Xenopus tropicalis: one gene and its partner. The protein of the gene in region 1 purifies or fractionates together with the protein of each later gene. This does not show direct contact. Links are inferred from orthologs where the notes say so. Each region holds a gene or a part of one and is shown on either strand. Other genes may lie near its edges. The genes, in order: itga2 and itgb1.

Evidence for each region.
Region 2: the proteins of itga2 (region 1) and itgb1 purify together in Homo sapiens (co-immunoprecipitation; 3 studies listed by BioGRID and IntAct, with this or other methods). This does not show direct contact. The link is inferred for Xenopus tropicalis from reciprocal best matches to the Homo sapiens genes ITGA2 and ITGB1.

Annotation. Positions count from the first base shown.
Region 1 is NC_030677.2:192,671,279-192,675,667, forward strand, and holds the start of itga2 (integrin alpha-2), read right to left. Parts: upstream 2,909-4,389; 5' UTR 2,710-2,908; coding exon 2,661-2,709; intron 1-2,660. UniProt on the Homo sapiens protein: Integrin alpha-2/beta-1 is a receptor for laminin, collagen, collagen C-propeptides, fibronectin and E-cadherin. It recognizes the proline-hydroxylated sequence G-F-P-G-E-R in collagen.
Region 2 is NC_030682.2:22,870,739-22,875,098, reverse strand, and holds the start of itgb1 (integrin beta-1 precursor), read right to left. Parts: upstream 3,052-4,360; 5' UTR 2,950-3,051; intron 1-2,949.

The DNA of each region.
Region 1 (4,389 bases):
AGGCCAGTAGGTACTTATTTATAAGGCACATATATAGTTGTGGGTCTCTACATCGAGCCATAGAATCATGTCTAACAATATACACACCAGCAAGCTGAAACCTCCTCATTATCACTTGACACCCTGGAGCCATGCATTCCACAGGGATGAATCCCAGGCTCAGTGAATGAACAAGCAGAGACATTGCTGGGGCAGGAAAATGTGCTACTCGCCGGCATTAATGCTCTGTTTATGCTCTGCTTGTAACCAAGGATTCATGTAAAGTTGTTTTTTCTCTCCAACCACAAACATATTTGGCTAATGTTAATGTGAAAGTCCTTCCCGCTGCTTATCTAACTGGCCATACAGTATAAACCACATGAATGTAACTTCCGTTTCTCATGTAAATGACACTTATAAAAGACACAAATGCACTGCTATATGGTTAGGTGCTGCACGGCATCTCATTCCCAGGGATAGGGACGGCACACTATTGCATTACAACTGTTAGGATCAATCATTGTCTCCTTTTTTATTGGAATTGAACTTTCAACTAACATTTAGCATGATGGACTGAATCAAGGCAGCTTTTCCAGTTGGTTCTCATTTTTTTTCTCTTCTTCTTGAATATTTTGCATTTTTTTCTCCCTGGGGTGAAATTTAAAGGTGAAATATATAAAGTACTGTTCCCTGCCCTGGGAAAGGTTGTTGGCTTGCTTCAGAAAGACTACTAGAATTTATATAAACTAGCTGCTCTGTAGCCATACGGGCAGCCATTCAAGATGATAAAGGAGAAAAGGCACAGGTTACATAGCAGATAACAGATAAGCTCAGTAAAACACCATGCCCTTCTAAAAACTGCACTGTGTAGGTAAAACCAGACAGGTGGCAACCCTATTTTACATAGGGGAGAGTTGGCTATAGCAAGCCTCTTGTTTGGCTGGATTATGGAATGTGGGGGCACAAGTCTGGGTAGGATTATGAGTGTGTGGGTCTGGGCTGACCCACACAGTCCTCTATAAAGTTATACACACTAAATACCACAGGTCACCAAAATATTTTGTAACTGGCCACACCCCTATTCTACCCAGACCACACCCCATTCCAACCCAGTTAAAGTTAAAGGCTCCCCCCCCCCCCATAGCACTGTGCTTTGTACCATGCACCCACTGTTGGACCAAATCCATCAGATGCAAAGTGCCCTTAGCACTCTAGTAGTTAAATCAGGGAATTTATTATATGAGCTTTCCTATGTCATACAAAAAATAGCAACAACTTTTCTTTAATTTCCTATGTGTTTTGCCTCATATTATTATTATTATTATTATTACATTTATTTATAAAGCGCCAACATATCCCGCAGCGCTGTACAATAAGTGGGTTACATACATTGGACATACAGAGTAACATATAAAGCAATCAATAACCGATACAAGAGGTGAAGAGAGTCCTGCCCAAAAGAGCAGAAAATGGCCAAAATTGATGCAGAAAACAAAAAAATCTGTGTACCAATATCCATTCATTTCCATTCCACTGTATTATACCGACCGTGGGCACAACATACATACATAGGATACTTCCAAGCTGCACTGATAGTACAGACTACAAGAAAGACGTGGGATGCAGCCCGTAGATAAGAGGTTACGCAAAGAATTTTAATGGTCTCCAGAGAACAGAATCAAAGGAACTGTTAACCTCCTACACCCCCCCCCCCCTTGCATTTCTGCCTACATTACTGTGTATCTGGCTCTTAAATTCCACATACTGAATGCTTCCCTGTATATCTCTCACTATATAGTGCTACTGGGGTACACATTGCTGTACAGTCGGGGAAGGGTAAATGATACAAATAGTTACAAATATTACAGAGAGGATATGGAGCTTAGAGACACTGATGCAATGATGTCCCTGCCCTGCAGAGCTTACAATCTGATGTACTGGAAACAAATAAGTTACTGGATATGTGGCACAGTGTTACAGTTCTTTCTGTATATGAAGCCCTTACTTACATTACTTTCATGTTTATAGGGCAAAAAGGGACTACTGTCCTGGGACAGTATTGACTCCACAGATCAGCATTTCTAGGTACAGTAGGGCTGCAGGGTATAGCACTACTGTATGGTGACAGTATAGCTTGCCATATCTACTGACAGCCCTGTGGCATATGGAAATACTGCATTTTGCTCAGTAAACGTATTAGTAATATATAGTAAGAACATAGTTTCCACAATGAACAAAAATTTCCAGAAATATCTTGTCGCTGTGCACCATACAAACCATGCACCAAAATTGGTCCTAATGTACCTGAAGCCTCAGCTACTGCCTTACTATGATCATGGCTACAGCAATTATTATTATTATTAACATTTATTTATAAAGCAATGCAGTTGCCTTTCATCCATTCCCAATTAAGAAAGAGAAGCTACTAAGCTCATATTTCTGGTGATAAGATCAATCATATTCTTCTGTGCAGTTGGTCAAGTTTTAAAACCAAAAGGAGTCCAACCCAGTAGCTGTGGAGACTAGGGAGAGAACTATGAAATAAAGCGAACAGTACTTTGTTGGCTTACAAAGAATTATGGGACATCAGCAGGAAAAGCCCAGGTATTTGGGGGGTTCTATAGTTCTAGATACAGTACATTCTAGACAGAAAGTAGCAAGTATTACAAAATGTTCTGTACCTTGTAGTATTACCAGCAGCAGCCAAGGAATGCAAGTTGTTCTCGCCATCAGCCAAACAATCAGGGACCTTGTTACAGTGAGTTCCAAACTTCTCTGTTCCCAGTGATAATCCCAATGTGCAAAGTGACTCGGCAGGCTGCCCTTGTACAGTATTTATCTACTGGCACAGTCACTGGTCTGGGAGGAGCAGTCACACAGCTAAGCGCTGCTTCTCTACACTTACACTCATGTCTGCAAATACAGCCAGTCCTACCCCTTCCTCCTCCTCCTCCTCCTCACCCACACAACTCTGTCACACTGATAGGGATGAGTGTGCAAACGCTGGAATGCAATCAGTAGCCAATAAAGGTAGGATGTGCCCCAGGATGTGATAGAATTGTGTTTGCACAGACACTCACAACAAGCTAAAGGCAAAGGCAGACAGTGTAGTAGTGCTGCTAGTACAGACAGAAGGGTAGGTATAAAAAATTAAACACATACAAGTACAACGTACAAAAGTAATTGCCATTAGTGATGAGCGAATCTGTCCCGTTTTGCTTCACTGGAAAATTGGTGAAATTACAAAAAATTTGCGAATTTTTTCGATGTGTGTGACTTTTTTGACGCAACTTATTTGACGTGACTGCGACTTATTTGATGTGGCCGTGACTATGTGTATGTCACTCCCACGTGAATCTTTCAAAAGATTTACGAAACTGCGAAAAATTCGCGAAACAGGGAAAATGCTGTGCATCAAAAAAAATTGTTGCACGATAATACGTTTGACGTGCGACAATTCTTTTGACGCGAGAGACAATTCTTTTGGTTGACACGCAATAATATGTCTGTGGCTCGACAATACGGTAGACACGCGACAATATGTTTGATGCAAGACAATTCTTTTTTGATGCGCAACAATGCTTTTGCTACTCGCAACAATTCTTTTGACACTCGCAACAATTCTTTTGACACGGGAGACAATTTTTGGATGCGCGGCAAATTTTTCTGCACCAATTTTTTTCCATTTCACCAAAAAATCTGCCAATGGCGAAACGCGTAAATTCGCTGCGAATCCATGCCTGGTGAATTTTTTTCGCCCATCACTAGATGTGACTGCAACTTATTTGACGCGACTGTGGTTTTTTTGATGTGACCACTGCTTATTTGATGCAGCATTTTCACGAAAAAATTCACCAATGGCGAAATGGGGAATTTCGCAGCATATACATGCCTGGTGAAAAAACATAAAACATAACTTTAACAAATAATTCCATTGTGTTTATTTAATGTTTAAAGAAGAAGGAAAGGCTACATTACTGGGGGCGGTGCTAAAATGTTTGGCACCCCCAGTGACTTTAATCGATTTCTTTTAATCCCAACATTTTTCGGCAGGCATGGATTTGCAGCAATTTTCCATGTTTCGCACAAATTTGCCACGCGACACAAAAATTTTGGTTTTCCGCGTTTTGCTAATTTTTAGCCGTTTCGCGAATCTTTTGCAAATTTCACAAATTTTTTACCGAAACGGGACAGATTCGCTCACCACTATTGCTTACCTGAAACCTGCTGGGGTGTATGCGGGCGAGTGTCCCTTCTTCGATCTTTGCGCATGTGTAGTAGAGTGAAAGCCAACTTTATGTATATATATATATATATAGTTATCATATCCCATAACTGAGACTTCTCATACCCGTTACCAGCTTAGTTTGCCCTTCTTTGGACCCTCTTTGACTCAATAATATCCCAAGA
Region 2 (4,360 bases), on another chromosome or scaffold:
GTTCGGTCAGACTACAGACAGACACGGGCAGGAAGGACTCCATTTCAGACAGGAAACAGAAATCACAGCTGGAGATGTTGTCACAAACACACACTTCTCTAAAATACATTGCGCCAGTGTATAAGGGATTTCTGCACGCAAGTGTATGGGGGAAGCAGGACTGAAAGCCGTTGTTTACCTTCAGATTAACTGAATTCTTACAACTGGATTTTTTTATTTTTATAGTTTTTGAATTATTTGCTTTCCACTTCTGACTCTTTCCAGCTTTCAAATGGGGGTCGCTGACCCCAGCAGGTAAAAATTAAACTGTAGCCCCACAGAGCAATAGTTTGTTATTGTTTTATTACTTATCTTTCTATTAAGGCCCTCCTATAATCCCCTCTCTCTTTCAAACCACTGCCTGGTTTCTAGTTTAAATTGGACCCTGGCAACCAGGTAGATGCTAAAATTCAACACTGAAGATCTGCTGAACGAAAATAAAAAACAGAGACCAATGCAAGACCAACTGCAAATTACCTTAGAATAGCACTATGCTAAAAGAAAAAAACGTATGTATTTGTAGTTGATAACCCTAACAAAACATGCTGCCCACAGATGGGGAGACAATTCCAGATAATTAACTTATAAATCACTGTGACAAATCTCTTTCTCTGACACAAACCTATATTAGGGAATATTCTCAGTAGCACCATCTTGATTAGATGTATACAGGTTTGATCTTGGGTTAACCAGCACAGCTCATATTAGAGCTTAGACAGGGTCTAGGGGGGGGTCACTTTACCACTTTTAAGCTGGCCATACACGGTAAGATCCACTCTATGGCGAGGTCACCAATCAAACGTATCTTCTCCAAATACACTCACCTATGGGTGAGCAATATCAGGCGAATTCAAATTAAAACAGGGGCCACATCAACGAGCCAATGTGGTTCCCGATACGACGGAAAAATCAAACCTGCCCAGTCAACATCTGGCCTGAAATTGGCCAAATCTCGGTCGGGCAGACCCATTGTTCGTGCCCACACACTGGCAGATAAAATCTGCCCGGTATGGCCTCCTCTACTCACAAGGGAAATGCCTTCTAGATATATGCAAATCGCAGTGAAATGTGAATTGCGCACAAAAATTCGCAAATGAGACTGCGATTTGCCCTCTGTGCCCATTTATTATGAATAAATATAGCGCGGACACAGACTGCGCGCATAAACATTCGCAATTTACGAATATGCCATATTTAAAAAACTTGAAGGGCATTTGCACTGTGAATAAAAATTTCGCAATTATATTTGCCCATTAAACGCACCAGTCTTGTCCAGCTTTATAAATATAAATACAGGTAGAGTAAATACGTTCACTGTGTGAATAATTCTGCACTGTGCAAATTTTATAAATGACCCTCAGTGCCTAGATACAACTACGGAGTCACTTGGGACCTATGAACAATGTGCAGGTCACATCAAGGTGCAAATAAGGTGCTGGTGGCACAGGGAGTGCTGATTTGCACCTTGTGTGCACAGCTGCTCAAAGCCAATAAGCCCCAGTGTGGCTTTACACTCCTACTGGGCGGAAATGGTAATTGTTGTCCTTTCAGCTAAATTGAAGTGTAGTATCTGTAAAGAGAATGTGGCTGCTCCTCTATATAATCCAGACTACCCTGATCCTCTGCACAAAGGGCCCTGCCTGCCCGGGGTGGCAGATAATCATAGGAAAAGTGGGACACTGAGTTTCATAAAAGCTCTTTTATGAATTTATATTTGAATCTTCACCATGCAGGAAAAGGTGATATACTGTGTTAGCCAGTCAAAATGTTTATAAGGGTAACCCTTTAGAAATAAAAGTGGTATAAAGGCGATACCTTTATTGGCTAACTAAGATAATCACAGCAAGCTTTCAGAACATTTTAGTTCCTTTGTCATACTGATTACCTCACCATTAATCTCATAAGGTTCCCAGCACAGATTTAGGCTCTGTTACCCACCCTTGAACCCGGCCCTGCCAAGAATACGTTTTGGGACTCATCCACCCTCGGAAGCCTCTGGGCTAAAACGCTGCTCGGGCTTCAATAAAAAAAGCCACATACAAGCACCCACTCATAACTCAATATAAGTGCCCTCAGTGTCAGCCAAACCATTATTCGTGCCTGGGGGCCGCCTTCTCTTAGGAGACTCTGTTAGGAGCCAGCAGCCAAATGAAGCAGTGCTATATTGTACTTATAGTGACCGTGGCACAACTACCCTGCGCCCTACTGAACACACAGGGAAAGGGGACAGCGTGGGCCGGCTGAGCCCTGGTTAATAATATCTATGGTTATGGTAATGATCTACTGTTAAAAATAAAGAGAGAAAGAAGGAGACTGCCCCCCCTTCACCCCTCCCAGGATGTCCTCTGCCGCCTCCCTCTGTGCACATTCCTGCAGGGAAACTCCCTGCTGTCTCTATGGGGGGGGGGGTACATACAGTCCCAGCCAGACACCCAATTCACTTACACAGAGCCCCCTACACACATGATCATGTAATTAGCGCAGTAACTAAGGAGGGAGAGCGCTGCAGCCCTGGAAGGGTGGGATCCCACAACAAGGAAAGTTTATAGGAAGCTGCCCCTAAGCAAGGTCACCCCCTCCCCCAGTCTCTATTAACCCTCTACCTACTGAAGCACAAACTCCACAATGGAAAAACTCCAGGTGGCATGTACTACAAGTCCCACAATCCCCTGCGAGTGAATGCAGTAGTTCCCAGCAGCTGTAGAGCCCCAAGTCTGCCCCCCTGTACCTATCACTGACAAACAATACAACTCCCGGCGTGCAAAGTAGCTGCTACACGTCCCGGCTTCTCTAAGCCATATGGATTCCCCACAGGGAGGCAGATACGGAGCAGCAATGCCCTAAGCACAGACTGTACCAAGTGAGCGGACACTGGGGCCAGAATGCAGGTAACACAGAGCGGCGGCTCACCTTTGGCGTGGGGCCCTTGGATCCCAGGAGCGGCGCCCTGCCGGGCTGAATCGCACAGACTAAGCGCTGCCTCAGATTGCGGCCTCCGAGCCCAGGCAGGTCTGCGCGCTGAATGAAGTGTCCGCTCTCAGTAACGGTCCCCTCCCGAGTAGCACCCAGCCTGCGCTGACGCACCACAAGCGCGCCCCCGCACTCACACGGACGCGCACAGCCAGAGCAAGAAGCGCCGCAGGAAGCGCATTCCAGCCCGGTGACGTCAGGATGTGGGAGGGCGGGACTGGCTACGTGGGAATGGGGGGGGATGGGGGCAGGGGCTCCCACATGGCCACTGTGTAGTGGCGGCTATTGCCCCATACTGTCTGATTAGTAGCACTGGGATCGCTTCCCGATATCTGGCACAGCTTGGCACCAGTACCACAGCTCAATAGGCATACACTCCAGGGGATAAGCTTTGCTTGTAGTACAGTACAGTTTATTGGTACCACATGGTTTGATGGCAGTCAGTAGCTGAAAGCAGTTTGTATGTTGTTGGGCGCTTCTACTGATTCTTGTTTCATTCTTCAGGCCACAGGCGAGCAATCCCCAGGGTAGGGTTCATCTGCCTGAAGGGTTGCCACCTTTTCTGGAAAAAAATACCAGCCTTCCAATATTTTTATTTATATCTATTTATAACATTGACATGAAGCCTAATTTTTACCAGTCAGGCAAGTGTGGCAATAATATCTGTGTGCCGCCGTATTCTAATGGTACCCCAGCATCAGGCCCTGGCATTTCAGGTACGCAAAGGCCAAAGTAGCACCCCCACCGGGCCAATAAGTAGTGACTGTCTATGCCAGCGGTTCCCAACCAGTGGCTCTTTAGCAACATGTTGCTCCCCAACCCCTTGGATGTTGCTCCCAGTGGCTTCAAAGCAGCTGCTTATTTTTGAGTTTCTGGTAAGGAGGCAAGTTTTGGTTGCATAAAAACCCAGTATAATGCCAAACAGAGCCTTCTGTAGGCTGCCAGTCCACATAGGGGCTATTAAGTAGCCAATTATAGCTCTTATTGGCACCCCCAGGGACCATTTCCATGCTTGTGTTGCTCCCCAACACTTTTTCCACTTGAATGTGGCTCACAGGTATAAAAGGTTGGGGATCCATGGTCTATGGCAGTGCTGTCCAACTGGCGGCCCGCGACCCCCCTCTGTGTGGCCCCCATCTGTCTGGCTGCTTTGATGGTTTACCTTTGAGTAAGCATTAAATGGTATCAGTACTGAGATTAACTGGCCCCCTGCATGGTTCTCACCTCAGATTCAGGCTGTAATCCCTCTGTATTGTTTAAAAATTTAATCCCCTGTGTTTTTCACACCTTTTAATACCTGCATGGTTCACCCCCTGCAGTGTTCACACCTCAGGCTCAGGCTGTAATCACT